Elephas maximus indicus: one gene and its partners. The protein of the gene in region 4 interacts with the protein of the main gene of each other region in a pairwise test. Links are inferred from orthologs where the notes say so. Each region holds a gene or a part of one and is shown on either strand. Other genes may lie near its edges.

The links.
Region 1: the proteins of RGS20 (region 4) and FASLG interact in binary tests that used the Homo sapiens proteins (3 or more experiments, as listed by UniProt). The two-hybrid records come from large-scale screens. The link is inferred for Elephas maximus indicus from reciprocal best matches to the Homo sapiens genes RGS20 and FASLG.
Region 2: the proteins of RGS20 (region 4) and OTX1 interact in binary tests that used the Homo sapiens proteins (3 or more experiments, as listed by UniProt). The two-hybrid records come from large-scale screens. The link is inferred for Elephas maximus indicus from reciprocal best matches to the Homo sapiens genes RGS20 and OTX1.
Region 3: the proteins of RGS20 (region 4) and GLRX3 interact in binary tests that used the Homo sapiens proteins (3 or more experiments, as listed by UniProt). The link is inferred for Elephas maximus indicus from reciprocal best matches to the Homo sapiens genes RGS20 and GLRX3.

The regions. Positions count from the first base shown.
Region 1 is NC_064821.1:210,464,817-210,472,148, forward strand, and holds the start of FASLG (tumor necrosis factor ligand superfamily member 6), read right to left. Parts: upstream 3,010-7,332; 5' UTR 2,912-3,009; coding exon 2,576-2,911; intron 1,995-2,575; coding exon 1,949-1,994; intron 1-1,948. UniProt on the Homo sapiens protein: Cytokine that binds to TNFRSF6/FAS, a receptor that transduces the apoptotic signal into cells. Involved in cytotoxic T-cell-mediated apoptosis, natural killer cell-mediated apoptosis and in T-cell development.
Region 2 is NC_064835.1:73,744,882-73,752,179, forward strand, and holds the start of OTX1 (homeobox protein OTX1), read right to left. Parts: upstream 3,006-7,298; 5' UTR 2,921-3,005; intron 2,553-2,920; 5' UTR 2,484-2,552; intron 913-2,483; exon of another isoform or gene 875-912; 5' UTR 764-874; coding exon 667-763; intron 1-666. UniProt on the Homo sapiens protein: Probably plays a role in the development of the brain and the sense organs. Can bind to the BCD target sequence (BTS): 5'-TCTAATCCC-3'.
Region 3 is NC_064834.1:80,051,832-80,059,743, reverse strand, and holds the start of GLRX3 (glutaredoxin-3), read right to left. Parts: upstream 3,011-7,912; 5' UTR 2,968-3,010; coding exon 2,879-2,967; intron 1-2,878. UniProt on the Homo sapiens protein: Together with BOLA2, acts as a cytosolic iron-sulfur (Fe-S) cluster assembly factor that facilitates [2Fe-2S] cluster insertion into a subset of cytosolic proteins.
Region 4 is NC_064833.1:86,221,013-86,228,727, forward strand, and holds the start of RGS20 (regulator of G-protein signaling 20), read right to left. Parts: upstream 3,010-7,715; coding exon 2,861-3,009; intron 998-2,860; coding exon 979-997; intron 1-978. UniProt on the Homo sapiens protein: Inhibits signal transduction by increasing the GTPase activity of G protein alpha subunits thereby driving them into their inactive GDP-bound form.

The DNA of each region.
Region 1 (7,332 bases), on a different chromosome or scaffold from region 4:
CATCTAAAAATATGCAATAGCAGTCCCTGTGGCATTAAATGTCCTTCTAACATACAGTTTTTAGTTGCTGCATAGTATTCTCTCATCTAAATTCACTATATTTAACTACTCTTCTGTTATAAGGCATGAGGTTTCTTCCTTCTATATAAATCTCCAGGCATGTCTTTGATTATTTTCTCAAGACAAATTCATATTGCGTTGATTTCAAGGTAAGTTAACACTTTTAGGTTATTGATATCTTTTTCCAAACTGTTCTTCAGAAAAATTATAGCAATTTATATTGCCACTGGTTGTCAACTAATGTTGAAGGAAGCCCTTTTCTCTCATCTCTTTGCCAATCTGGGTATTATCCTTTTTTTTTTTTTTAAATCTTTACCAATTTGATGTATGAAAATAGGTATCCCCTATCTCCATTTGAATTTCTTATCCTACTGATAAAGTTACTACCTTGATTTCCATGTGATATTTCACCCATTTCAGGTTGACCTGGGTCAATCTAGAGAAGATACATGTTTCCTGGGGTAGGTAGACCTGAGTCATCTGTTCGTTTGACTTTTCCTCACTAAAATGACTCCACTGAGTAGGTGAGAGATGAGTAATAAGGCGCCTTCTTCACCAGCCCCATTCCACTGGTTTTCAAAGCTACTTCCTTCTAGAAGTCTTCCAAAGTCTTCATTTTTCTAACAAATATTTCCTCTCTGCTTGTGTATGTCTGGACTTTCTAACACTTAGGGGCTCTGACCCAGAACTGGGTTCCAGAGCACCTGCTCCTGCAAGAACTTACAACCGAGGACAGCAAGGTACCTGGGCTGCCTGTAGTAGGCACCCCCTAAGAACCCAAGCACGCTCCACCGAATGGCTGGCCAGCTCTGCCTTCTGTGTTCTGCTCGGTTTCCAGGGATGAGATGTGCCTACTTGCAGAGGCATCCTGCCTTTCCTCTTATTTCTCATTCCATGGCCATCAGAGAGACAGGCTTTTCCTTATCCTATGAGGCACCAGTCCGCATGCTGGAAGGCCCCACAGGTGACGAAGCGTCAAAAGCTTTGTTTCCTCTAGTCTGAGGTCCATGTCAGTGGTCTTGGGAATATCACCTAATCTGTCTGGTATTTTGTTTCTTTTCTGGAAAATGAGCTGGATCAAATAAGCTCTAAGCTCCCTTTCAACTCTAACCAAATCTTATGAGTTCAATGAATCTTAGTTTAAGACAGATTGGGAATATCCTAAAAATCTATCTGTTCAGCACTTCAAAAACTATGGCCTGAAGCTTCATGAGGTCACTGTTCAACAACTTTACCTTCTTCCTGTCCTGAGTCTCATACAAAGGATATGAGCACATGACTGCTTCTAGGTGTGAAGCTGGACTTTCCTTTGAATAGTTGCTAGGCTTCCCTAAACTTTCCAGTCATTCCAGAAGAACCATCCTAATGAAGGTGATTGGCTGTACTGTTATTACAAGCTGAGTTTAGTTTATAAAATATTTTTTTAAAATAGAGTTTGACTCTTGAGTAATCTCTTTTAGAAAGTTTAAAAAGGAAAGAACATTTCCCAGAAACACCTTCTCTGTCTCCACCCCACTCTGTCTCCCTGGGAGTTACAATCACTGCCATGGGCACCGGACTCAGGAGGCCTGAGGAAGGGGACAGGCCTGGAGCCAGCAGTTCAGGAGGCAAAAGTTCAGGGTGTGTGTGTGTCTCCATCCAAGGTCAAGTACAAGTTATTTTGAATTCTGTACAGTACTCAGCTACACTGATTTTGAACAATTAAATTCACTTCATATTTTAAAGTAGCAGAATAAACCGTAATGACCAGAGGTTTGGAATTAGCCGGGCTCCCTCTCGTAGTATATACATGCCCAGGAATGAGAAGGATTGCAAGCCACTGCACCAACATTGTTTAGTGTTGAGGACTATCTTTGAGAATTCAATGTATGTACATAAAAGGACTCACCTATTTGCTTCTCCAGAGATGATGCTACAGGGCTTAGGCGGGTGGACTGGCAAAAGAGAAAAGATATGTAATAAATATGAAGACCTTTAGGCAAAGGAGGCAGGATTGTCAAAAAAAACCAAGCCCTGGAAAGAGAACCCAAATACCTCAGAATCTCTCTGATCTCAGACTTTTGCCAAGCAGTTGTGCCCTTTCTAGCTCAGTTTTGTGATTTGGAATAGTACTAGTATTTTTAAAGGATTTTCAAGGAGATTTAGTTTGGCCATTTGAACTAATCCACTTCTAAGCAAGAATCAATGTTTATTTTATTTTTTGACTCACTAGGTGTTAGGCAGTAAATAGCTAGGCAGACTGATTAGCCAACTGAGAAAGGAATTGTAAATGCTAATCCTATCTTGGCCCTGATCCTTTATAAGACAGAGGAAAAAAAAAATCCCCTCACATGTATGGCTCTCTATTTCTCTGCCTGTAGAATGGAATGAGCGTAATAACCCATTTCCAAGAGAGGAAAAAAAAGATTGAGAAGCACTTGGCAAAGAAAGCAGTGGGCCACAGTGGTCCTCGGCCCCCACTGCACAGAGCTGTCTTGGTGAGCCCAGCACGCAGCCCCCCTCAGGCCAGGCTTACCTCTCTGAGTTCAGCCAGCTCCTTCTGCAGGTGGAAGAGCTGGAACAACCCCAGCCCCAGTCCAACCAGGGCCACCAGAACCATGAAAAACATTACGAGGAGATATAGGCCTGTGTTGGGATTCCGTCTCTTCTTCAGAAGTGATGGTGGGAATGGAGGCAGTGGTGGCCGTGGTGGCAGCGGTGGCGGTGGGGGTGGTGGTGGCCTCATTTGGCCGGGTCTTCCAGGCACAGAGGAAGGGCAGGGGAGAGCAGACCCTGGAGGGGCCAAAGGAGAGCTGGAGCTGCTGTCCACCCAGTAGATTTGGGGATATGGGTAATTCAGTGGCTGCCACATGGCAGCCAGGAACTCAGGGCACCCTCCAGGCAAAGAATTTTACTTCTTCTCGATCCTGTGTAGGCTGAGGTGTCAGAGGAGGGGACTCCTGTTGCTAAGTGCTCAAGAAAAGGGAAGCCGGAGCTCTCTTTATAGAGTTTCCACAGCTAAGGGAAACACTTCTCTCGATCTCTTTCTGTTTCTCAGAGAAACACCCACTCACTTTACGTCTGAAGCTGAGAAGCCTCAAGGAGCTCGGAGCAATTTGCGCCTGAAGTTGAAAGCCTCAAGGAGCTCAGGGTAAACCGCTGTAAGCTTCTACCCACAATTTTCTGACGAAAGCATTCAAAGTCCCAGTTGCTGTTGCTTTGCTACCTGAAAAGGCTGGTAGGTTAGGCTCCTCTTTCTCAGACCTGCTGGAGCAGGTAAGAATCAGGGGCCAGCCTGGTGGGCATAACCTGCTGCCTAACTGCAGAGAGGTTGGCCAGCGGGGCGCTTTCAAGCACTGAGGGGAGAGACCATTGAGTTGTGGCCAGAGGAACCACTTCCACATCTTACCTTTTGCATGAGCTGCCATCCCTTCCCCTAACCCAAATACTGTTTACCCTGACATTGCAAAACACCAGAATTTACAGGAGAAAAAACCCTGCCCCACCCACTATCTAGAGATTAGATCAGAAGTTGCAAACCTGTGGCCCGTAGGCCTTACAGAACCCACAGGCCTGTTTCATTTGTACCTCACAATGTTTTTCTTCTAATTGGCTGTCTACCTTTAAAATCAGGAGATTCCACATCAAAAATACAGGTTTTAATTCTGTCTTGAAACATTAGAAGACTGGGCACACTCAAGACCATCTCTGCAAACCCAGTTGGTGTGAGCTGGGTAGCAGCTGCCCACGTGGACAGAGCCCTGAAGCTCCAGGTCACCCAGGGTCCCCACCCCCGACTATGTGTCACACACCACCACATGTGGGAAATGGCTTCCTGACCACTGTAGGAATTTCTGTTTGCAGCTCCTTTTAGGGTTGCCAGGTAAAACACAGGACACTCAGTTAAATTTGAATTTCAGATAAATAATGAATAATTTTTAGTATAAGTATGCCTCAAATATTGTATGAAACATACTAAAAAAAAGGTTGCTTATTTGAAATTCAAATTTAATTCTTGAACTCACATGTGGCTTTGGTTGTAGTCATTAAAGGCAGTGTCATGGATTGAATTGTGTCTCCCCTAAATATGGGTCAACTTGGCTAAGCCATGATTCCTGGTATTCTGTGCTTATCCTCAATTTTGTGATCTGATGTACTTTTCCTATGTGTTTTAAATCCTAATCTTTGCCTGTAGTTAATGAGGCAAGATTAGTTTAAGTTAAAGAGGATTAGGGTGGGATGTAACACCCTTACTCAGGTTACAGCCCTCAATCCAATAAGGGGAGTTTTCTTGGGGTATGGCCTGCATCATCTTTTATCTTGTAAGAGATAAGAGGTGAGAGAGAGGAGCAGAGAGAGAGGGACCTCCTAACACCAAGAAAGAAGAGCCAAGAGTAGAGCGTGTCCTTTGGACCTGAGGTCCTTGTGCTGAGAAAACTCCTACACCCAGGGGAAGATAAACAGAGAAAGAAATCCCTCTCCCTGAGCTGGTGCTCTGAGTTCGGCCTTCTAGCCTCCTAAACTGTGAGAGAATAAATTTCTGTTTGTTAAAGCAATCCACTTGTGGTATTTCTGTTATAGCAGCACTAGATAACTAAGACAGACTGAGAAAAAACTAAGACAGTAAGTTTAAATAATAATTAGCTAGAAAATATAATTTTAAGAATTCTACCACACTCATAAAAAGCCCTTAAAATATACTAAAATAACTCTAACAAGAATTATACAGGTGTATATTTTAAAAATTACAAAATTTTACTGAAAATGGCAAAGATGCAAATACATGGAAAAATAGACTACATCCTGGGTGGGAGGATAGAGAGGTAGTATTGCATGATGGGTAAGAATGGGCCCTGGAGTTAAACTGCCTGGGTGCAGCTTCCAGCTCCATCACTTATTATCTCTGTGATTTGGACAGGTCGCTTTCTATTTTCTGTGCCTCAGTTTCCTCATCCCCCAAATGTGCATGATCATAATAGTACTTACCTTACAAGGCTCTGTGGGGATTAAATGAGTCAAAGTATAAGATACCTTTAGAAGAGTCCCTGGCAACAAGGTGAAACCAAAAATACATAAATAAAAACTGTTGCCATCAAGTCTTTTAGGCTTGTGGCCACCCCATGTGTTTCAAAGTAGAACTGTGCATAGGGTTTCCAACGGCTGATTTTTCAGAAGTAGATCACTAAGTCTTTCTTCAGAGGCTCCTCTGGGTGGACTCGACCCACCAACCCTTCCGTTAGTAGGTTTTCAAACGCTTAGCTATCGCACAACCCGTGGACTCCGGCAACAAAGTAAGCCCTCAAGAAATGTTAGTTGTTGTTAGTTTATCAGATCTCTCCCAAATAATTCAACTACAGACAATGGAATTGACCTTCTTCTGTTAAGAATAAACCAGTTGGTAGGGAGGAGAAGGGCTGCAGAGAAAAGCACAAATTCTGTGCTTGACATCTAATATCTCTCAGAGATTCCACCGCTGGACTGCGGGACCCTCTGCCTCAGGCTAGGACCCTCCGCTTTTTATCTCAAACTTCCACGATTCTCCAATAAGAACTATGCTGTATTTGTACATCTTCCTCGGCCCTGCTTCTTCTCTTGATTCATATTGTTCTAGGAGGACTCAGAAGCCCCATCCCTGCCCCTGACACACCCACTGTCCCCCAAGCTTAGGGACAATCTGAACTGAAATAGAGACAAGGAGAGCAGGCTTTAAACACTTGTGTCCCTCTTTGGTAATGCCGCCAAACATCACATTTAGCCAAATCATGGGGGAAAAAACACATACCCCTCAGCACAATAAAGACCCCTTCACAGTTCGAGGCACTACTAGAACACTGCTAATTAGGAAAAATAATCTTTTCTTTAAGACCCCAGAGGCTACTCACCAATGTAGAATGTAGAACATTTTCCTTATAAACTATGTTATGCTAAAATTGTTTGTTCTTTTTTTTTTAATTGTGCTTTAAGTGTAAGTTTACAGCTCAAGTTAGTTTCTCATATAAAAATTTATGCACACATTGTTATGTGACCCAAGTTGCTATCCCTATAATATGTCAGCACACTCCTCCTTTCCACCCCGGATTTCCCATGTCCATTCAAAAAGCTCCTATTCCTTTCTACCTTCTCATCTGACCTCTGAATAGGAGCTGCCCATCAGTCTCATGTATCTACTTGACCTAAGAAGCGCACTCTTCATGAGTATCATTTTATGTCTTATAGTCCAGTGTTGGCTTTGGGAATGGTTTTAGTTCTGGGTTAACAGAGAGTCCTGGGGCCTTGTCTTCTGGGGTCCCTCCAGTCTCAGTCGGACCATTAATTCTGGTTTTTTTACTAGAATTTGAGTTCTGCACCCTACTTTTTTCCTGCTCCATCAGGGACTCTTTGTTGTACTCCCTATTAGGGTGTTCATTGGTGGTAGCCAGGCACCATCTAGTTCTTCTGGTCTCAGGCTAATGGAGTCTCTGATTTATGTGGCCCTTTTTGTTTCTTGGGCTAATATTTTCCTTGTGTCTTTGGTGTTCTTCATTCTCCTTTACTCCAGGTTGGTCGGGATCAACTGATGCATCTTAGGTGGCCACTCACTAGTTTTAAGACCACAGACACCACTCACCAAAGCGGGATGCAGGACATTTTCTTAATAAACTTTGTTATGCCAATTGACCTAGAAGTCCCCTGAAACCATGGTTCCCCAGATCCCCACCAGTGCTATTCTGTTCCTCGAAGTGTTTGGTCATATTCAGGAAATTCCTTAGCTTTTGGTCTAGTCCAGTTGTGCTGACTTCCCCTGAACAGTGTGTTGTCCGCCTAAGATAATTCTTCTCTACTTCCACCCTTAACCATCAAAGAATGTTTTCTTCTGTGTTTAAACATTTTCTGGAGTTTTTATAATAGTGGTCTCATACAATATTTGTCCTTTTGTGACTTACTAATTTCAACCAGCATAATGCCTTCCAGATTCATCCATGTTATTAGATGTTTTGCAGATTCATCATTGTTCTTCATTGTTGCATAGTATTCTATTGTGTGAATATACCATAATTTGTTTATCCATTCATTGTTTGATGGGCACCTAGGTTGTTTCCACCTTTTTGCTGTTGTGAACGTTGCTGCAATGAGCGTGAGTGTGCATATATCTATTTGTGTGAGTGCTCTTATTTTTCTATGGTACTTCTAGCTTTTTAAGGAAGCATCAAATCAACTTCCAAAGTGGTTGTACCATTTTACACTCCTACCAGCAGTATATAAGTGTTTCAATCTCTCCACAATCTCTCCAACATTTATCATTTTGTGTTTTTG
Region 2 (7,298 bases), on a different chromosome or scaffold from region 4:
TTAAAAAAGGGAGAGAAGTCAGGTAATCTCCCTTCCTCCACATCCCCTCCACTCGACACACACGCTGGCTGGGGGTGGGAGAAGGGTGTATAGAAACACGATCTGAAAACACTCAGAGAATAAATGGGGGTGCAGTAGTGGAAACTGGAAAAGAAACCCAGGGTTCGGCTCAAGCCGTCAGCTTCAGCAGTGGAAGAGTTGGTACAAGCCACAGGTCCAGGGGAGGGCCACCCTTCCTCAACTCAGCCTGCATGTTCACATAAGGGAAGTTAGGCCTTAGGGCCAAGCTCTTTCCGTTAGAGCTCACTGGGACTTCAGATTTCTCATTCGTTGCTGGGGGAAAAAAGTGATTAGATCCACAAAAGTAATAGCCACCCGTGGGAAACGAATCCGTGGGTAAATGCACTGTGTGGGCGATGGGAGCACAACAGTAGACAGGTTGCCCCCACGGTTGGGCTGGAAGGGCGATTGCTGCACCTTTTCACTGCCCTGGTCCATCTCACCCACCCCTGACTCTGTTGTCTGCGCCTGCAGCCAGCTTTGCATTGAAAGCAGACTAGGCAATCGGTTACCTGGGCCTACTCGGCAACAGGCTGCCTCAGACCCGAGAGACTGAGGATCCCTAACGTTTGCAAGGGCGGAGGGGCTGGGAGGGCCGGTGCTCACCCGGATAGCCCACGGAGGGGTGCAGCAGGTCCATGGCCGGCCCGGCTAGGCCCAGCCCGTTCATGCCATATGGGGGTTGTTTGAGGTAAGACATCATGCTAACAGCCGGGTGGAGGCGCCCCGACGGATCCAGGGGGCCGGGGGCCTGGCGCGGTGCGGGCTTCCCACCGCGCAATCCTTTGAGCTCTGTTGCGTCTGGGGGCCCGGCCTAGGAGACATGACACACATGGTAACCGTCAATCCAAGCCACCCTGGCTCCCAGGTACTGTCCGAGGTCAGAAACCTCGGGATGGGGAGGGTGCACAGGCTCCGGGACTGCACAGCGCCGCGGTCAACTCAGCTCCATAAGGCCTAAATCCAGAGACCACAGCTTTTTTTGAAAAATGAACTTTCCTGAGTCTCCATGCCTCTCTTGGGGCTTAGAATAGGCGAAAGACACTCGTAGGGCGGAGCTGGGAGTGAGGAGAGGTTAAAAGCCTGGCCGGGCTGGGGAGGTCTAAGCCCTCAACAAGGGGGAAGCAGGGTCCTAAGCCTGAGCAAAATTTTGAGTCCGGCGGGAGCCGGCCTCATGCTGAACAACCAAACGTTCATTCAGCCCCTGGCCGCAGGCTGCCCAGAACATGAAGGGTTATTCTGTTTTGTTTCTAATGTCTTGAAAGCGGGAAGAAAAGGTAGACACTCCCGAGGGCCGAGGTGAAGCACTGCGGAGGGCCGGCGCCCCTGGCCTCTTCTGGACGCGGAGCCCACTTGGGAGGCTTCGTTTCTTTAAAGGTTTCCGCAGCTGGGGCCCGGCCCCACCGTCCGCAGCCACCCCTCCAGATGACCTTTGTGCCTAGTCCCTGAAAGATCTCTCACCCAGAATCCCACCACACCTCAAGCGCAGTTACTGGCCCAGATCTCCCAGACACAACCAAAAGACGCAAAAGGGGCCACCGTAGAGGTGGTGGTTGCAAGACGCGGCCTGAGGTGGCGGGTGCCTCTGCCGGAGCCTCGGGCCCTTCTTCCGAGGTGCGGGCCGGGCCTTCTTTCTGCTGGGTCCTGTTGCTGACAACGGGGCCCGGGATGAGGCTGAAGCGTGACCGGCTCGGCGCTCCAAAAGACCTCGGGGATTTGGGAGGCCTGGATGTAGCCGATCCCCTGAGCTCCCCTGCCTATCCTGCTCCCTGGACCCCGCGGCCCCGGGACCTGACCGAAACTAAAAAACTAGGCCTCAGAGGCATAACCCGCGAGCCCCTAACTGGAAGGTTGAAGCCTCGTTTCCGCAGCTTCCCAAACCCGAGGCTCTAGTGTCAGGGGTCAGGAAGGGGCGCTAGGAGTGGGGCTGGAGCCCAGGGGCCCTGTCGCTTCATCCCGCTTCGCAGGAACTCTCTAAAGCGGGCCTTGGAAGCTGGGCTAGGAAGTTCAGGGACAGAAGTTAGAGCTAAAGAAGCCCTTGCCCCGGTCCTCCGGGACTTGCGGCCTGGGTTTACAGGGAAGGAGAGGAGGAGAAACAGCCTGGGTTCTTGGGCCCAGGGAGAACGGGACTCCAGCCACCGCGGCTCTGTTAGGCTGCTGCAGTGTATTCAAAGACTTTCTCCAAACTTAGCACTTCAGCTCGCTCACTTCGGAGGAGGCGGGGGAGACTGGGCGGGCGGGAGCGCCGGACTGTAGTCGCGCTCTGGGGTCCTCCACGCACCAAGAGGGGCGCCAGGCCGATTCCCCCCAGCCCCGCCCCCCAGCCCAGGACCTGTGGAAGCCGGAACCCAGTTGAAGAGGTGGAAGCAAGAGCAACCGACGCGCTCCCCGCGTCCCGGGAGGCCCCTGGGCTTTCTCCTTACCTGCCCTCAGTTGTCGCGGCCGCTCACCATCTACCTCGCGCCCTCAACGAGACCCTCCGGGCAGCCAACCTGCAAAACAGAGGGGCGCAGGAATTACCCGCCGGACTGGACGAGGCTGGTCTGGGACCCCCGATTTCTTTCTTTCTCCAGTTTCCCTCTTCCCATCTCTTTCTTCCCTCCCAGTGGCTTTATGTGTGTCCCTCCAAGTTTCATTTTATTGTACAGACACTTTGTTGGCAAAACCCTACACGCTCCTGGGACACTGCCTCGCCGGGGATCGAGCTGTAGGGCCGCAGGGAGGAGGTGAGGGGGTGCGAGGGACAGAGTTGGGAGGAGGCTCGCGGTTGTTGCTGCACTCCTGGTACAGGAGGGAGGCGGTAGGGGCTGGGGAATTCTTGAACAGACACTTTGTAAACTAAATAAATCAAGCGATTTACCTTGTCGCAGTGGCTTGTCTTTCTCGGTTGTTTAGGTGATTGGAAATGTAGCCAGATGAAGATTGATCACCTTTCTACTGCCCTCCCCGAGTATGTGAACGCGAGGCGAGTGCGTAACGGGGCTAGGCCGCCAATCGGGGGCCCCGCGCGGGCTGAGTGACAGGGAGCCGGGCAATGGCAGCTCGAGCCGAGGGTTACCTCCGCGCGCCCCCGCCCTCCCCCGCCCCCTGCACCCCGCTGTCCCCACCCGCCCGCCCGCCCCGCCCCGCCCCGCCCCGCCCCGGTGGCGCGCTAAGTCCGGGGCTCGACTGCCAAACGCCGCGCAAAGCCAGGCGAACGAGGAGAGCGCAACGCCGGAGCCCCGGCCGCAGAGGGGCGCGGGTCCCGAGGCCTGGCCCGGGGCCCCCGCCCCTCTCCCCCCTCTCCCGCCTTCGCGGCGCGGCCGAGGGAGTGGCGGCGAGGTGCTGGAGAACCGGTTTCTTCGCTCTCCCGCGCGCTCACCCGGCTCGGCGGCCCGGGTATGGGCGCGAGGACTCAGGGGCCGCGGACTCGAGGAGCGTGGGCCCCAGGCCCCTCTGGCGGCTGCGCGGGCCCCAGCGTCTCCTTCCCAGCGCCGTCACCTGCTTGCGGACGCCGCGGGCGGCTCGTGCCGGCTCCGGCAACTTTGCAGAGCGCGGGAGCAGCTCCCAGCGCGCAGATGCCTTCTCGGCGCCTCAAGACTTCTGCGCTGGGAAATGGCACCCGCAAGGGAGACACCGCAACCTACCTGCTTCTCGGCGTGCCCTGTTCCCCGAAGGGTGTTTTTAGATTCTAAACGCTTCTTCTGAAACGTTCCAGCCCAGCGTCCCTTCCCCCTCACACACACACGCTTCTTCTGAATCGAAAGATTTTGATAGGAAACTTTCTCTTTCCCACTCTGTCTTGCTCTTCTTTCCCATTTTCAGCTACCAGGGACAGTCTGGTCAAAACGTGGCCACAGGCCCTTGTCCTCAACTTCTTTTCCACCTGCCCCGGAAGTAGCCTCCTTGAAGCGATTTTCCCGGGTTGTTCCTACTGGCGAAGCCTATTTCCCAGTCGAACAAACTCCTACCCATCCACCTTGGTGGATTTTTCAAAGCAGAAAAAGCGTTTTCGCCCCCAGCCTTGAACAAGCCAGTTGTTTTCAATGGCACCACCTTCTGAATACTAGGCACGACTTTATTTCCTTTCGAGGAATTCCCATCCCTTCTTTCTAATCCCCCCACCCCAGCAGGCGGAGGGAAAAGTTTGAGCAGCAGTTAAGTGTGAGGGCGAGTCACGGAGCCGATAGGCGCATGGCTCGGGAGCGCCGACACGGCCGGGGCGCCGAGTCCGGCACCGTCATCAGCCCGGGGGCTGGGCGAGGAGGAGGAGGAAGGGCAGCCCACTGAGTGAAAAGAGGCCGCGGCTGCAGCTCATCAAAGTGCTTCCCCCTCCCCCCAAGCGACACTTTCCTTTGGAGTCCGAATAAAATACGGTAACAGAATATGATGGAGGGCACACTGTTTCCTTAACTGCTTCTCAAAGAACCCGGGAGATCTTCTTAGGACCTTAATAAGGCTTTGGTCGGTTCTTTTGTTGATCTCTCAAAATCAACTCCTTCTAATTGAAGTTGGAGCTGAAAGCGAGCTAATGTTCAAAGAAAGTGGCCGCCAGACCAACGAAATTACATTTTTTTTTTTTGACGATGAAGGAACATCTAATCAAAGGGGCAGGGAAGGAGGGGCGGGAGTGGGGGAGTACGAAGGAGAAAAGGAGGTTTTACAAGATCCTTCTCTGGTTCACAAAAGTCAGCGACACGGGCGCTTCTCTCCAGAACAAAGACACCGCTGCCCATTCACAAAAGGGAGAGAAAGCGAGAGAGAGGGAAAGCAGAATAAAAGAACGAGGGGAAAGGAAAAACATGATGCGGGGGGCGGGGGGAAGCTTTAAGGGGAAAAGAAACTGCGCTGAGCGCATCGTTGGCCCCCGGAGCGGACACACTCAGGCTTGCGCAGGCCCCCGCCAGGGGCAGCCCGTGCGGCCTGCAGTCAGCAGCCCCGGTATCGGAGCCCGGGAGATGGTGCTGAGAGTTAAAGAAAGAAACGAAAGACACCCCCGCCCCCAGTTCCGGGGCAAGGCGCTGGCTGGAGCTCACTAGTTTGGAGGTGGGGGAAGTGTGCAAGCGTCCAGGAGCGCGCGCCGGCGGCGTCCGCATCCGTAGCCCGGAGCAGCCACCCGGGCCTGCGCGCTGTGTGCCCGGGTTGGCCTGCCTGCGCCGGAGTGCGTGCCCTTGCCCCAGTGCCGCAATCTCTCCGTCTCCTGCTCCTCCGGGCCCTGTTTCGCCGGCAGCCGGAGCCTTGGTCCAGGACCAGCCCGGCAAAATGGGGAGGCGGTGCGCGCTGGAATGTGTCGCGCGGTCCCCAGGGCCCGCCGAGCGGGAGTCCGACGCTTTCGGCTCCAGATGCTGCCACCCGTCTCAGGAAAGTCGGGAGGTATCAAGTAGCATGGAATTCCCCCCCCCCCCATAAGAGTATTTATCTAATCCCAAATTGCAGGCGAATTTTCTTAATGCTCAGCCCATAAAACCCCGGGATTAAGAGAAGAAAAAGAGAGAGAGGAGAGGGGAGAGGGAGGAGAGCGTAAAGGGAGAGAGAGGAAAGTTTCTTGTACGCTGTGCAGAGGGCTGAGGCGGCCGTCGCTAGGCAAATGTCCAGGTGGGAGACACCGGGCCAGAATCTGCGACCGTTCCAGCAACGGCCGCACCGCGGAGACAGCGCCGGGGGAGGGGAAGCGGACCCAGCTCAAGGCCTCCGGGCCGGGGAGGAGGCGATAAAGCTGGGCCCCGGGGCCCGGATCCCGCGCCCAGGTGACCTCGAGGCCCGGCCAGGCTCTGAAGGACACTTAAAGCAAGCGGAGAGGTTTGGCTTCGGGGCCGAGGGATCCTGGCCAGGGGCGGAATTTCCGCAGCTGCCCGCGGGCTGTGCCCTAACCAGCCCACCGCCAATGCTCCTCCTCCGCTGCGACCTCCGAGCCCACTGCCTCTCTTCCTGCAGCGCGGGCTTTCGGGTTCCCAGCCCCTCGGCGTCCTGGGTCCGCGCCCGCGGCCCGGAGCCGGCGCCCGGCCGGACGCAGCCAAGTCCGGACGAGGCGCCCTAGCCCGGGGCCTGACCCCACAATCCCGGGGTCCGCGCTCTGCTGCCGCTACGGGGCGTGCAGGCGCCACTAAGCAGCCCAAATGGGAGCCCTGCGAGGCTCGGGACCGGGTCAGGAGGGGCCGGGAGCGGGTCCGCACGCCCGCCCCTACCACCCTAGCAAATACAGGGCTAGGGAAGGTTTGGCACTTGGTAGGTCGGGCGCGGCTAAGGGGGTCCGCCTCTCGGAAAGGCCCTTCAGGGGTGAATGGTGCCCGAATCCGTAGTAAACCGGGTGGGTGACGCTGGCCACCCGAGCCTCAGGCTGCTCGGGTCGGGCGATTTCTGTGTGGCATCCTTCCCTGGGGTTAGAGAGCGTTTCTGAAAGCTTCCCCCAGAGAGCTGCAGCTAGCTGTGCTCTCCTGCTGGGGGGGGGGGGGCGCAAATACACGATGTCACTTAACGCCGATAACTTTTCCATAACTTTTCCTAAAATCCTTTGCTTGAAGGAATTTTACCGCGGCAAGTTTTTGTCATTTTGAAAGACTAGCAATTGGAGACAACTGCATACTTTTCGAATACAGTTTTGTGTGTGTCTGTGAATATATATGTGTGTGTATATGTTTCTGTGTATGTATATATATGTGTGTGTGTGTATATATATATATATATATATATATATACATTTTTTTTTAAAGGCTAAATGCTAGCGGACTGTTTTCTTTAAATCTCCAGACTTGTTGAACAGCTTTCTTTGTTTGGAACCTCTCTGTAGAGGAGTGACTGGAAACTACCATAGAATCACCATTTTTTTCCCCTGTAGCCTGTACTTCTTGTTAAAAGTTCATTTTCCCTCATCTCATACACACACACACCTGCACACAATACCCCACCCCACTTCCCCTACAATCACCCTTTTCCTTTTACAGCTCCTACAGACTTGCCTATTATCAGAAGACCTAGTAACAGGAGTGCAATACTGTAACAACTGAAAGAATAACATGGAAAATTCATCAAGATGTTACCATTTTTCAGTGATGTGGAATCACATATTTCCTGCAATCTTTAATAAAAGAGATGACCCTTTTTCTGGATGATAGTTTACACTGCTTAAGAAAATATGACTAATTGCTGTTCAATTCGAATTCATATGTCAGCAGGGCCCCTTTGGGATGGTGTAAACTTACTCACCTCCAAATACAGCCTGCACTGCGTTCCAGAGATCCATTTTCCACATGGCAAGTCTT
Region 3 (7,912 bases), on a different chromosome or scaffold from region 4:
AACTTATAAAATCTAATTAGATAGCTTAAGCAAAAAAAAAAAAAAAAAATTTCAATTCATACCAAATTTTAAAACTGAGAAGGGATGATTTGGAAAGATTTTAAATGATTACATTAACACAAACCAAACCTGTTGCCTTCAAGTCGACTCTGACTCATAGCGACCTTATAGGGCAGAGAACTGCCCCACAGTTTCCAAGAAGTGGCTGGCGGATTCAAAAGGCCAACCTTTTGGTTAGCAGCTGTAGCTGTTAACCACTTCTCCACCAGGGCTACTTACTACCTCATGTTCTGAATGCTGACGTTTTCACAAGAGGCAGAGATTGTTCCTTCCCCAGATGCCAGATCCTGTGTCCCACGTGCCTTTTTACGCTAATTACTACAGAAAGGGTGTGAGGGTTTTTGGGTCATTTCAAGTACAGACCAGTAGCAAGAATACATCTAACTGGTATTTACATTTAAGCCTTTACCCCTTGTGGTATTTTAAAGATTGTTTACAACATGAAGCATAAAAAAAACGTAAAACACACAAAAAAACCAAAGTCAGGTGACGGTAAATTGAAAACGTTTATCAAGGGCAGGTCCACACAAGCTGTACTTGCTTCCAGAGGCCACCTCTCATGTCCTCCGTAATTTTGCTGCCTTCAGATCTGTGTGGAAAAGTGCAGGATGAACCAGAGTCCAGTGCTCATCAATGAGTAAACCTCATTTCCCCTCGTTTAACAATTTCCCAGGTAAGCCTGAAATGCCAAAAGAGCTGTTTTAATTAGCACTTGGACTTCATTGCCTCCATAAAGCATGGCCAGCCAGAAGAGTTATCTGTCACTTCTCCCCATCTTCAACAAAGGCAAGCCCCCATCTCATCTGCACTCTCCATTGAAAAAATCACAAAGTACTACCCGCTTCTAATTCAAATTCAGTGACAAACTTCTACTGAATTTAGATCAATTAAGCATTTATGGCCTGTGAACTCCATGCAGGCACTCCGCTCCATACTGAAAACAGTAACAGTCAACATCTCCACGTGCTTTCAGCATGCCAGACAACGAACGAGCTAGGTATTTTACAGTCATAGTCTTGTTTAATCCTCACACAACCCTAGGAGGTAGGTACTACTCTAAACCATTCTACCGCTTAGGAAACTGACGCTTGCTTATGAAACTGGCCCAGCGGTCCCATAATGCCTGGTAACTGGCCACGTTGGGAATCTGGTCCCACGCAATCTGACACTAGAGCTTCCATCTGAACTCAGTCCTTCCAGGGCTCTAGAGCTGAGGTGGCACTGTTACTAAGGAGCGCTCATCGGCATTCCTGTAAGCATTTACTTGTAAGCATTCACCCCTGCAAGCATCTACCTGCAAGCATGCATATAGTTCAGAGCTTCCATTTATCCAAAAACGTTTTCAGGGCATCCCTTTGTAGTCTTCTCAAGGGCAAGAAGCACGTGGGCCAACCTGAGCCAACTCGGACTACACTGATTCAGGAAACAGGAAATCCCTGCCTGTGGCAACCTGAGTACCAACAAACTTTAAAATATAATTTTAAAATGAAGACAGAACTGCCTAACCCTGGTACGGCTTGATTGGTTGCTTTTCCTGGTGACAGGTACGTTCTACAAAGTGACGCTAAGAGACAGTACAGACAAGTGCGACCTGTCCGATTACAGTCTGCACAGAGAGGTCGGACCCACGGGCTTGGGGTCCCCACTGACGCATTCCCCGCTCTCCAGGCCCAGCTGAGGTCTCCGACCCCCGCCCTCCCCATCCGCCCCCACCCCCTACCCAGGGCCAGCGGGGGGTCTCTGCATCCCCCACCTTTCATGCCCTGTCCGGGTCTCAGCGTCCCCCGCCCTCCAGGCCCGGCCCAGGTCTCATAACCCCTCGCCCCGCAAGGCCCAGCGCGAGTCTCCGAGCCCCTGCCCTCCAGGCCCAGCCCGGATCTCATGGCCCACTGCCCTGCAGGCCCAGCTGGGGTCTCCGCGCGCCCCCCCCCCTCCCCCGCCTCCTGGCTCAGACCAGGTCTCTAGGACCCTGCCCTTCTGGCACAGCCCAGGTCTCATAACCCCTCGCACCCCAAGGCCCAGCGCGAGTCTCCGCGCCCCCTGCCCTCCAGGCCCAGCGCGGGTCTCAGACCCCCTGCCCTCCAGGCCCAGCGCGGGTCTCAGACCCCCTGCCCTCCAGGCCCAGCCCGGGTCTCAGAGGCCCCTGCCCTCCAGGCCCAGCCCGGGTCTCAGAGGCCCCTGCCCTCCAGGCTCAGCCCGGGTCTCAGAGCCCCCTGCCCTCCAGGCTCAGCCCGGGTCTCAGAGCCCCCTGCCCTCCAGGCCCAGCCCGGGTCTCAGAGGCCCCTGCCCTCCAGGCTCAGCCCGGGTCTCAGAGCCCCCTGCCCTCCAGGCTCAGCCCGGGTCTCAGAGCCCCCTGCCCTCCAGGCCCAGCCCGGGTCTCAGAGCCCCCTGCTCCAGGCCCAACCCGGATCTCAGCGCCCCCTGCTCTCCAGGACCCACCCAAGTCTCCGGCCCCGCCCAGACTGCTAAGCTGAGTCACCGCGTCCGTGACCCCAGAATGGCCAGGCCCGAGGCTGGAGAGTCGGGTCCACGGGCCCGGGCCGCCAATTGGGCCGGGCCGCGCCCCCGGAGCCGCACTTCAGCGGCCGGGCGGGGGGCGGCCTCCGCACTGCTGACTCTCCCAGGCAAAGCAAGCCAGACTCTGGGCCGTCCAGCTCTGAACCCCAAATGAGGACTATGGGGCGTCCGCGGGCCGGGCGGTCCACCGAGGCCGCGACCGAACGGCGGGAGGGAGCCGGCCAGGCCTTCCAGTGGGGCCGGGCCTCGCGAACGGCCTCCGCCACGGCTCCTAACTTCCGCCGCTCGCCGCCCCGCTTACTTGGCTTTGACGGGCAGGAGCTCCTCAAACTGCCTGGCCGAGCCAACCTCCACCACGGCGGCTGCCGCCTCGGGCGCCCCCGCCGCCATGCTGCCGCCGCCAGACAGGAGCAATCGAGCGCGGGCGGCTCGGTGGGCGGGGCCGCGACGCCGGCTCGCTGCGCGCAGGTGGATCGCCGTCCCCCGCAGGACCCGCCCCCGGACCCGCCCCATCCCGGCCTGCGCCGGCCTCCCGCGGGACCCGCCCGGTAGGCCCCGCCTCCCGAGCGACTTGCCCCGCAGGGCGCCGTCTCTCGCGCCCCGCCCCTCCCGGCCTGCGCATGTCCCCTTCGGACCGGCCCTGCAAGCCCCGCCCCCTGCAGGCCCCGCCCCTCCCGCGGCCCCGCCCCGCAGGCCTCTTCCGTCCCGCGGGCCCCGCCCCAGAGTCTCTGTACTCTGCAGCCGAGATCGTGAAACGACAGAGGCCGCGCTGGCGCCTGGCCCAGGCCAGGGGTTTCCACTGGGAACCTGGAATCCTCATGCCAAGGGTCGTGACTGTCAGGTAGCCATGTGGCTGCGATACCCATTATGGTGGCCATAGGGCTACTATAAGCATAGACCACAGGACCGTAGGATTGATTCGAAATAGCCAGTACCAGTCCATTTCCGCTCTCTGATGCCTAGGATCGCTGAGTCGGAATCCACTCAACCGCAGTGGGGTTTTTTCATGCCTAGGACAGCGATCTTTTTGCATTTCACTTAATTTTGACGACTTCAGTTTTCCTAGATTCAACCACATATGTCTGCATTCCACCTTCTGATCACTAATGGATGTTTGCAGCTGTTTCTTCGCATCTTGAGTCGTACCAAGTCCGCAAATGAAGGTCCCGAAGCTTTACTCCCTTTACATCATTGAGGTCGACCATACATTGAGGCCCCAGCCCTGGTGGCACGGTGGTTGAGAGCTCAGCTGCTGACCAGCTGCTCCTTGGAAACCCCATGGGGCAGTTCTACTCTGTCCTAGACTGTTGCTATAAATCAGAATGGACTTGAGGGTGGCGGACTTTTTTTTTTTTTTTTTTTTTTTTGATACTTTGAGGAGGCAGCTCTTCCCCAGTCTTCTTTTGAGTGTCTTCCAACCAGATGTGTTCCTCTTCCAGTACTATATCAGACAACGTTCTGCTGCTGTTCATCAGAAATTCAAACCGGATTCAGAAGAGGCCGTGGAACCAGGGATATCATTGCTGATGTCAGATGGAGCCTGGCTAAAGGCAGAGAACACCAGAAGGATGTTTACCTTGTTTTATTGACTATGCAAAGGCATTCGCCTGTGTGGCTCATAACAAATCATGGATAACATTGGGAAGAATGGGAATTCCAGAACACTTACTTGTGCTCATATGGAATGTATACAAAGACCAAGAGGCTGTCATTTGAACAGAGCAAGGGGATACTGTGTGGTTCAAAATCAGGAAAGTTGTGTGTCAGGGTTGTATCCTTTCACCATATTTATTCAATCTGTATGCTGAGCAAGTAATCCGAGAAGCTGGACTCCATGAAGAAGAACGTGGCATTAGATTGAAAGAAGACTCATTAACAATCTGCAATATACAGATGACACAACCTTGCTTGCTGAAAGTGAAGAGGGCTTGAGGCACTTACTGATGAAGATCAAAGACTACAGCCTTCAGGATGGATTACATCTCAACATAGAGAAAACAGAACTCCTCACAAATGAACCAAAAGCAACATCATGATAAACAGAGAAAATATTGAAGTTGTCAAGGATTTCATTTTGCTCAGATCCACAGTCAACGCCCAGGGAAGCGGCAGTCAAGAAACCAAGTGACGTATTGTATTGGGCAAATCTGCTGTAAAAGGCCTCTTTAAAATGTTAAAAAGCGAAGAGGTCACTTTAAGAACTAAGGTGCATGTGACCCAAGCTGTTGTATTTTCATTTGCCTCAGAGGGATGCTAAAGCTGGATAATAAGTAAGGAAGATTGAAGGAGCCCTGGTAGCGCAGTGGTGAAGTGCTTGACTGCTATCCAAAAGGTTGGCAGTTTGAACCCACCAGCCACTTCACAGAAGACAGATGTGGCAGTCTGCTTCTGTAAAGATTACAACTTCAAAACCCCACGAGGCAGTTCTACTCTGTCCTTACTCGGTTGCTGTGAGTCAGAATCGACTCGACGGCCATGGGCCTCTAAGTGTAAAATATACAACTGATTCAAAGATTCAGTATAAAAAAAGTAAAATACCTCATTTATGATTTTGATACTGATTATATGTTGAAATGATAATATTTTGAATATATTGGATTATATGAAATATATTGATAAAATTAAATTTACCTCCTTTTACCTTTTTAATGTAGTTACTAGAAAAATTTAAATTACATGGAGGCTTTCATTTATGGCTCACTTTATTTATTTATTTACTTTTGGATTTTGTATTTTCTGTGGGAGGGTGTTGCTGCAGGGATTAAAAGTGGCCTTTTGGAGCCACGTTACAGGTTGTCTTACACTGAGAAACGGATTTACTGAAATTGGTACATTACCTTATTTAAAATGCAACGGAACTGTGGTGAGAAACTGTTCTGTATCTTCTTGAGTGTAGTGGAGAATACGTGAACCCACACAGGTGATAAAATTGCACAGAATTAAATACACCCACACAAGAGTGAGCAAAGTAAACCTGGGGAAGTCTGGATAAAACGAGTAGGTCACGTCAATATCCTAATGGTGATATTGCTCTGTAGCTTGCAAAATATTACCACTGGGGAGACTGCCAAAGGTGTTCAATGGGGGGGGACCTTCGCTTTTTACAGGATGCACTTCTGTCACTGCATTTTTTCAAAGAGCATGGATTGGCTTTGTAATTAAAAATATACTGAAATTGTGATGCACCAGGGAAATGGGCCATTTTGAGTCGTTTTCAGAAGAGCAGTAATCACCCCTCTAACACGTTGTTGTTGTTAGGTGCCATCGATTCCGTTCCGACTCATAGCGACCCTATGCACAACAGAACGGAACGCTGCCCGGTCCTGCGCCATCCGTTGTTACGCTTGAGCTCATTGTTGCAGCCACTGTGTCAATCCCCCTCGTTGAGAGTCTTCCTCTTTTCCGCTGACCCTGTACTCTGCCGAGCATGATGTCCTTCTCCAGGGACTGATCCCTCCTGACAGTAAGTCCAAAGTATGTAAGACGCAGTCTTGCCATCCTTCCCTCTAAGGAGCATTCTGGCCGCACTTCTTCCAAGACAGATTTGTTCGTTCTTTTGGCAGTCCACGGTATATTCAAAATTCTTCGCCAGCACCGCAATTCAAAGGCGTCAACTCTTCTTCGGTCTTCCTTATTCATTGTCCAGTTTTCACATGCATATTATGCGATTGAAAATACCATGGCTTGGGTCAGGCACATCTTAGTCTTCAAGGTGACATCTTTGCTCTTCAACACTTTGAAGAGGTCCTTTGCGGCAGATTTACCCAATGCAATGCATCTTTTGATTTCTTGACTGCTGCTTCCATGGCTGTTGATTGTGGAACCAAGTAAAATGAAATCCTTGACAACTTCAATCTTTTCTTCATTTATCATGATGTTGCTTATTGGTCCAGTTGTGAGGATTTTTGTTTTCTTTATGTTGAGGTGTAATCCATACTGAAGGCTGTGGTCTTTGATCTTCATTAGTAAGTGCTTTGAGTTGTCTTCACTTTCAGCAAGCAAGGTTGTGTCATCTGCATAACGCAGGTTGTTAATGAGTCTTCCTCCAATCCTGATTCCCCATTCTTCTTCATATAGTCCAGCTTCTCGGATTATTTGTTCAGCATACAGATTAAATAGGTATGGTGAAAGAATACAACCCTAACGCACACCTTTCCTGACTTTAAACCAATCAGTATCCCCTTGTTCTGTCTGAACAACTGCCTCTTGATCTATGTAAAAGTTCCTCAGGAGCACAATTAAGTGTTCTGGAATTCCCATTCTTCGCAGTGTTATCCATAGTTTGTCATGATCCACACAGTCGAATGCCTTAGCATAGTCAACAAAACACAGGTAAACATCCTTCTGGTATTCTCTGCTTTCAGCCAGGATCCATCTGACATCAGCAATGATATCCCCGGTCCCAGAAACCAGCCTGAATTTCTGGCAGTTCCCTGTCGATATACTGCTGCAGCCGTTTTTGAATGACCTTCAGCAAAATTTTGCTTGCGTATGATATTAATGATATTGTTCTATAATTTCCACATTCGGTTGGATCACCTTTCTTGGGAATAGGCATAAATATGGATCTCTTCCACTCAGTTGGCCAGGAAGCTGTCTTCCATATTTCTTGGCATAGACGAGTGAGCACCTCCAGCGCTGCATCTGTTTGTTGAAACATCTCAATTGATATTCCATCAGTTCCTGGAGCCTTGTTTTTCGCCAATGCCTTCAGAGCAGCTTGGACTTCTTCCTTCAGTACTATCGGTTCCTGATCATATGCCACCTCTTGAAATGGTTGAATATCTACTAATTCGTTTTGGTATAATGACTGTGTGTATTCCTTCCATCTTCTTTTGATGCTTCCTGCATCGTTTAATATTTTCTCCATGGAATCCTTCACTGTTGCAACTCGAGGCTTGAATTTTTTCTTCAGTTCTTTCAGCTTGAGAAACACCGAGCATGTTCTTCCCTTTTGGTTTTCCATCTCCAGCTCTTTGCACATGTGATTATAATAATTTACTTTGTCTTCTCGAGAGGCCCTTTTTTTACTTCATCAATTCTTCCTTTTGCTTTAGCTGCTCGACGCTCAAGAGCAAGTTTCAGAGTCTCCTCTGACATCCATCTTGGTCTTTTCTTTCTTTCCTGTCTTCTCGGTGACCTCTTGTTTTCTTCATGGATGATGTCCTTGATGTCATTCCACAACTCATCTGGTCTTCGGTCACTAGTGTTCAATGCGTCAAATCTATTCTTGAGATGGTCTCTAAATTCAGGTGGGATATACTCAAGGTCATATTTTGGCTCTCGTGGACTTGCTCTGATTTTCTTCAGTTTCAGCTTGAACTTGCATATGAGC
Region 4 (7,715 bases):
AGTTGCAATTTTGAAGGATTCTATGTGCAAAATATTGAAGGATACAGGAAGAAGATGGAAGGAATAACAAGTCATTGTACCAAAAAGAATTGGTTGACATTCAACCATTTCAGGAAGTAGCTTATGATCAAGAGCTGACGGCATCGAAGGAAGAAGTCCAAGCTGCTCGGAAGGAATTGGTGAAAAACAAGGCTCCAGGAATTGACAGAAGACCAAATGAAATCTTTCAACAAATGGATGCAGCGCTGGAGGTGCTTACACGTCTATGCCAAGAAATTTGCAAGATAGTTACCTAGCCAGCCGACTGGAAGAGATACATATTTGTGCACATTCCAAAGAAAGGTGATCCAACAGGATGCATAAATTATCGAATAATATCATCAATATCACACACAAGTAAAATTTTGCGAAGACAATTCAAAAATGGTTGCCACGGTACATTGACAGGGAACTGCCAGAAATTCAAGCAGGATTCAGAAGAGGATGCGGAATGAAGGCTATCATTGCTGATGTCAGATGGGTATTAGCTGAAAGCAGAGAATAACAGGAAGATGTTTACTTGTGTTTTGCTGCCTATGCAAAGGCATTCAACTGTGTGGATCATTACAAATTATGGATAACATTGAGAAGAATGGGAATCCCAGAACACTTAATTGTGCTCATGAGGAACCTGTATGTAGATCAAGAGGCAGTTGTTTGAACAGAAGAAGATACTGTGTGGTTTAAAATCAGGGAAGGTGTGGGTCAGGGTTGTATCCTTTCAGTATACTTATTCAAACTGTATGCTAAACAAATAATCTGAGAAGCTGGGCTATAGGAAGAACATGGCATCACGGTTGGAGGAAGGCTCATTAACAACCTGTGTTATGCAGATGCCACAACCTTGCTTGCTGAAAGCGAAGAGGGCTTGAAGCACTTACTGATGAAGATCAAAGACAACTATCTTCAGTATGGATTACACCTCAACATAAAGAAAACAAAAATCTTCACAACTGGACTGGTGAGCAACATCATGATAAATGAAGAAAAGGTTGAAATTGTGAAGGGTTTAATTTTACTTGGATCCACAATAAATGCCCATGGAAGCAGCAGTCAAGAAATCAAACTACCTATTGCACTGGGAAAATCTGCTGCAAAGACCTCTTTAAAGTGTTGAAAAGCAAAATGTCACTTCGAGGACTAAGCTGTGGCAGACCCAAGCTGTGATATTTTCAGTCCCCTCACATGCATGCAAAAGCTGAACAGTGGATAAAGAAGCCTGAAGAAAAGCTGATGCCTTTGAGCTTTGGTGTTGACGAAGAATATTGAGCATACCATGCGCTGCTAGAAGAACAAACAAATCTGTCTTAGAAGAAGTACAGCCAAAATGCTCCTTAGAAGCTAGGATGGCAAGATTTGTCTCATGTACTTCGGACGTGTTATCAGGAAGGACATCATGCTTGGTAAAGCAGAAGGTCAGCAAAAAAGAGGAAGATCTTCAACGAGGTAGAGAGTCATAGCGGCCGCAACAACAGGCTCAAACACGGCAATGATTGTGAGGGTGGTGCAGCACCGGGCCGTGTTTTGTTCTCTTGTAAATAGGGTGGTGATGAATTTGAACCAACTCGGCAGCACCATACAGCAGCAGCGCACATCTTGCCTACATTTAGATGCCCATCACTTAAGGACTTTCGGTCACTAGATCCTATTTCATTCTGGTTTCTTCAAGTCCTAGTGCTTAGTTACTTGATAATAGGATAATAGTTTGTTGATTGTTGTTAAGCCCTGATTCATGGAGACACCATGTGTTACAGAGTAGAACTGTTCCACAGGACTTTCTTAGCTATAATCTTTATGGAAGCAGTTTATTAGGCATTTCTTTTCCACAGTGATAATAAGGGTGGCATGGAAATTCATGTGACTTTGTTAATTCACGTATATTTGAAAGGTCAAAAACACATAAAAGACCTCCACATAATTAAAAAAATTTTTTCTAACTTGTTTTTTTTTTCTGCTTGTGCCAATTAGTTAAAATAACATCAGGGGAAGAGGCAGATCAAGAGAATTAAATAGCGTCTGCAAATAAAGAATGATTATCGTTGGGATATGAGCCACAGCACAAGGGCAAATGAATTTTTAGTGTTAAAGTGAATGCTTTACCCTTTGCTGTGGTCTAATTTTGCAGCGTTTAACTTTTAGCTCTGACCATTATTTGTTAGACACTAACACCTGGGCATCCCCCCTCCACACCAAAATAACCCTTTGGTTCTATTAATAGCTAAGAGGATTTACAGACTTAAATGGTGCTTTCCACAAGACACACACTACATTGAGCAGTAAAATTGCCACTCTTTGGGGTCATCATCTGTCTAATGGTAGAAAGTCATGCTGTCTTAGGAATTACTTGGAATTTAGAAAAAAAAAAAAATCCTCTTAACTCCTTAATGTTCTTATGTTCTTGTATCAGTCTATTGACTTTGTTCTCTAGCAGTCTTTATAAAAAGCAGTATACATTTTTTCATTCATTACTACATAGGATAAAATCTTTACATCAGAGAAAAATATCCAAGGGTTAATATCAATAGCCACCCAATCTATGGCTAGGTTTTCTGCTTTGAAAAACAGCATCTCCCAAAACAAAAAAGCAACGAGTAACGGCTTGCCTTGATAAACGCACGCTGCTGAGGTTGAAGAAAACTGGACGTATCAGGTAATTGTCATCACGAATATAGTTTTCCCCTGGTGGTAAACCTTCAGTAAAATCAAGTGAGCAATGGCACTCAAGCTTGTTTATGATTTTATGTTCTTTCTGGATAAATCCTCCTCCTTGTCAAGAAAGAATCATGGATTGTAAAGAGGTCATCTTACCTTGAAGTGATGCACAGCTTTGGTGTCCTCTTCGTGTTCTGGGGTTCGGTGGATGGTTGCATTATATCCTTCAGCCCTAAACAAGGGCAAAAACTTCCACGTAGATGACCTGGAACAGTGTTTCTGAAGGCCCTCTTGGTTGTCTTGGAAAAGGCTGGGCATGTTTTAATAAAAACAACAGGGCAGAATTCCCTTTCTTTCTCTTCCTTTGGCTAACGCTAAGGCATTTCTCAGTCTGCTGGCAGCCTTCTTGGAAATTTGCAGTAGTCAAAGCAAAAGGATTATCTATTTATGGATCAGTAGCTTAACCACAGATCTTTAGTCCTCATTGCTGGTGCAGAACCTCTTACTTTGAATGTCTGGGTTTACCATGACTGCCCCCTAAAGGCGGGAATGCATTCATAATTCAAACCTGCTGAAGTAACTGATTCTAGTGATATACAGCTGAGGGTATAACGATAAAGACAGACAGAGATTGCTTGACAAAATTCTGTATTAGTAATGTGTGTGAGGAAATTGTACTTGACAATCTTGGGCTATGCAATTGATAGGCAGATGCTCAGCCTAATTTTTTAGGTTTCCTAAAAGATCATTTTAATAGCAGCCAATTTTGCAGCTAGAAACTAATCTTAAATTCATATTCTAAACTTAAGCCCAAGCATTGTTACGCCTTTTACTTAAAAAAAAAAAAAAAAATTTTTTTTTTTTTTTTTTTACTTACATCATGTAAAATTAGTCAAGGTGATTTTCTTATGTGGTAACTAGTCACCTAATGATGAAACCAAGAATTAGCTTCTAATACCATACTTTATATTTGTAAAGTGTTTTATAAATATAAACTCGTTGCCGTTGAGTCAATTCCGACTCATAGCGACCCTACAGGGCAGAGTAGAACTGCCCTATAGAGTTTCCAAGGAGCGCCTGGTAGATCTGAACTGCTGACCTTTTGGTTAGCAGCTGTAGCTCTTAACCACTATTCCACCAGGGTTTCCTTTATAAATATGAGAATATTAAATGGAGTGAAAAAAGCACAGCACATAACACATTTCTCTACGATGTGACTAATGGCCAAGTAACTCTGTGGGGTTTAAGGTGCACAAAGGTAAGGGCTCCACCTGTTGATTACTGGGGACTGTGAGCTGAAGAAATTTTTCTTTTATGGAAGTGCCTGGGACTCCCGAATTAATGTACAGATTTATAGCAATTAATATGAAAATCCTAGCTGCCTTTTTACAGAAATGGACAAACTGATCATAACATTATTATGGAATTGCAAGGTACCCAGAAAAGCCAAAAAAACAAAATAAAACAACCCTGGAAAAAGAAGAACAAAGTTGGAGGGTTCACACTTTTCCAATTTCAAAAGGTACTATAAAATCACAGTAATCAAAAGAGCACGGTACTGCTGTAAGGATAGTTGTTAAGATAAACTACTGTTTGGTTTTAAAAAGACTTCAGGGGATAGTTTTGGTTTAAGGTTTAAAAATTATCTCAGGGCAAGAATTTTGGTGGTTCATCCAGCCGCCATGGCTCTAGAAAGTCTGGATTTCATGAGAATTTGAAATTATGTTCTGCATTTTCACCCTTTTGATCAAGACTCTTCTGTAGAGTCTTTGGTCAAAATATATGGCAAATTGCTTTTTTTTTAATTTGTGCTTTAGATAAAAGTTTACATAGCAGATTAGTTTCTCATTCAAAAGTTTATACACAAATCATTTCATGACATTGGTTGCAATCCCCACAATGGGTCAGCGCTCTCCTCTTTTCCACTCCAGGTTCCCCGTTTCCATTCGTTCAGTTTTCCTGTCCCTTTCCGCCTTCTCATCTTTGTTTTTGGGCCAGCGTTACCCCTTTTGGTCTCTTGTATTTCATTGATCTAAAAAGCATGTTCCTCGCATGTGCTGTTGTTTGTCTTACAGGCCTGTCTAATCTTCGTTGGAAAAATGAACTTTGGGCTTAGCTTCAGCTCGGAGTTAGAAGGGTGTCTGGGACCATAGGCCGAGGGCTTCCTTCAGTCTCTATCAGATCGGTAAGTCTATTTTGTCTCTGTGTGTGTGAATTTGAATTTCGGTCTACATTTTTCTCCCACTCTGTCCAGGACCCTCTGTTGTTATCCCTGTCAGAGTGGTCTGTGTGGTAGCTGGAAACTAGTTCTTCAGGGCTCAGACTGGTGGGGGCTGTTGTAATTGTGGTCTATTAGTTCTTTGGACTAATATTTTCCTTGTGTCTTTGGTTTTCTTCATTTTCCTTTGCTCCAGATAGGATGGGACCAATAGATGTATCTTAGATGGCCACTTGCAAGCTTTTAAGACCCCGGACACTACTCAACAAAGTAGGATGCAGAACATTTTCTTTATGGACTATGTTATGGCAATTGACTTACATGTTACCTGAGACCATGGTCCTCAGCCCTCAGCACCAGTAAGTTGGCTCCTCAAGATGTTTGGTTGTGTCTGGGAGGCTTTTATGACTGTGCCACCTTTGGGCTTTACTATATATATGAATATCTTATGTATCCGCTTGTAAATTTTCATTTGTTTTTACTGTTGTTGTACAGTTGTATATGCTATGGTATTAGCTGTGGTTGTTTTTTTTTTTTTTTTTCCTTGTGTTCTTCTAAGTGTCTTTCTTTGGCAAATTGATTTTTGACAAAGTGCCAAGTCCATTCAATGGGGAAAGAAGCCTTTTCAACAAATGGTGCGGGGACAACTAGATTTCCACATGCAGAAGAAGGAATGTGGATCAAGCTAGTGTTCATGGTAGTGAGAGCATGGCTAGAAACAAAGAAGGAGAAAATGTGGGAAACTGGAAAAAACTGAATCCTTAGGCCCCTCCCAAGCACTTCTGGTCCATTTCCTATAAAGAGCTGCCTATCGTGCTGACAGATGAGAGCTCTGTCTCCCCGACATTAGGCCACTGTTATGCATTACCCCAGGTAAAAGGGCATTTTCTAAACAGTCAGTGGAGTTTACAGAGTTCAGAGGCTTGTATCTAAGACATGTAAGCATCCGAGCAGAAGAGATTAGCGGGCTATTAATCTAGAAAATCTCTGACTTCTTTACTAGCTCAAGAGATGGATAGAAAACAAATGGATTTGAATAGAAAGCAGATGGAGTGAAGTGCTAATGGAGTTGAACTATCAGAAAAACTCTAAAACTGGCAAATCATAACCAAAGTTCTTCCCTTAGGCGAAGGAGGCTAAAGATGTTCAAAACTAGAGAGGGAAATCCTCCCAGATGCTCATCTCAGATGCCGTTACTGGACTTGTCAGGACAGGGAGACCTCTGAGATGGTGCAGTTAGTCCTAGTTCAGACTTGTGGATCAAGGAACTTGTTCTACTGACGAAAGAGGCAGAGTTGGCTGTGTACCATGGACCCAAACTGTTCTCCTCCATCATTGTGTGCTGAGAGTGCTGGTGGTAGATTTAGCACTGCACCATGAGTTGGCAGCCATAAAGACCCACACGTGGACTAGACCACGAGGATTGCAAATCACTAAATGACCCTTGACTTTGAGCCAGACACAATACGGGAAAAGACTTCAGGTTGTCTTCCCTGGAATAAGATGAATACATTTTTAATTTCATGTAGGATATGTTAAGTGGGAACATTTTTGAAAGGTTGTATATGAAAAAAAAGAGAAGTGTGTGTGTCAATACTGAGTTGTCTAGAGGTGAAATGTAGTGGATGTCTTTTTTTTTTTCCTCATCCACCATTCACGTCCTCTTCTTTTTTATGATAACAGCATCCTAGTTTTCTTTGGGGTCATGTGTCTATTCCCTTCTCAGTCCCTGTTACTTAGATAGGGCTGACCCTGTACCTGGAAACCCTGGTGGCATACTGGTTAAGTGCTATGGCTGCTAACCAAAAGGTTAGGAGTTTGAATCTACCAGGTGCTCCTTGGAAACTTCGTAGGGCAGTTCTAATCTGTCCTATAAGGCCACTATGAGTCGGAATTGACTCGACGGCAACGGGTTTGGTTTCTTTTTTTTTTTTGAACCTTGTATCCAGCTCCAGGTCAGTGAACACAACACACACATGGGCTGTCGGTAAATTCCATCCTTCTGCCTACAGTGACTGCTCAATGCCAAGCGTGTAACCAGCCCAATGGAGTCAGTCCTAGGACTTTTGATAATCTGTTAGAAAAGAAGTGCTTGTTTAGGTCTGCTAAATTGGTAGCCTATAAGTGTGGTGTTCTTGGTGTGTATATCTTTACCCGTACTTGGATAAAGGATGCCAAGAATAAACCCAGCTCACTGAGAACCAGAAGTTAGATGCAGAAAGAAAGTGCCTGACATCACTTGAGCAATTCACCATCTTTGATGGTCAAGACCTAGATTTTTCATTTACGTGATCAATGTTATTATTATTTACTGTTGGGTTGTCTCTGACTCATGGCAACCTAGTGTACTACAGAATGAAACTTTGCCCAGGCCTGTGCCATCTTCACAGTTGTGGGTATGCTCAAGTCCATTGTTGTGGCCCCTATGTATTTCGAGTGACTTCCAACCTAGGAGGATCATCTTCTAGCACTATACTAAACAATATTCTGCTGTAAGCCCTGGTGTTTTCATTGGCTAATTTTCAGAAATTGATCTCCAGGTCTTTCTTTATAATCTATCTTACTCTGGAAGCTCCACGAAATCTGTCTACCACAGAAGACCTCACTGGTATTTGAAAACCTGTGGCATAGCTTCCAGCATCACTGCAACACGCAAGCCACCACAGTATGAGAAACTGAAAGATGGGTGGTGGACATGATCAATAACCTCACTAAAATAAAAAAGTATTACTTTAAGAATATTATTTCTATTTGCTTAAGCTAGCTTAATCTGTTTTCTTTCACTTGCAACATATACAAAAGGCAT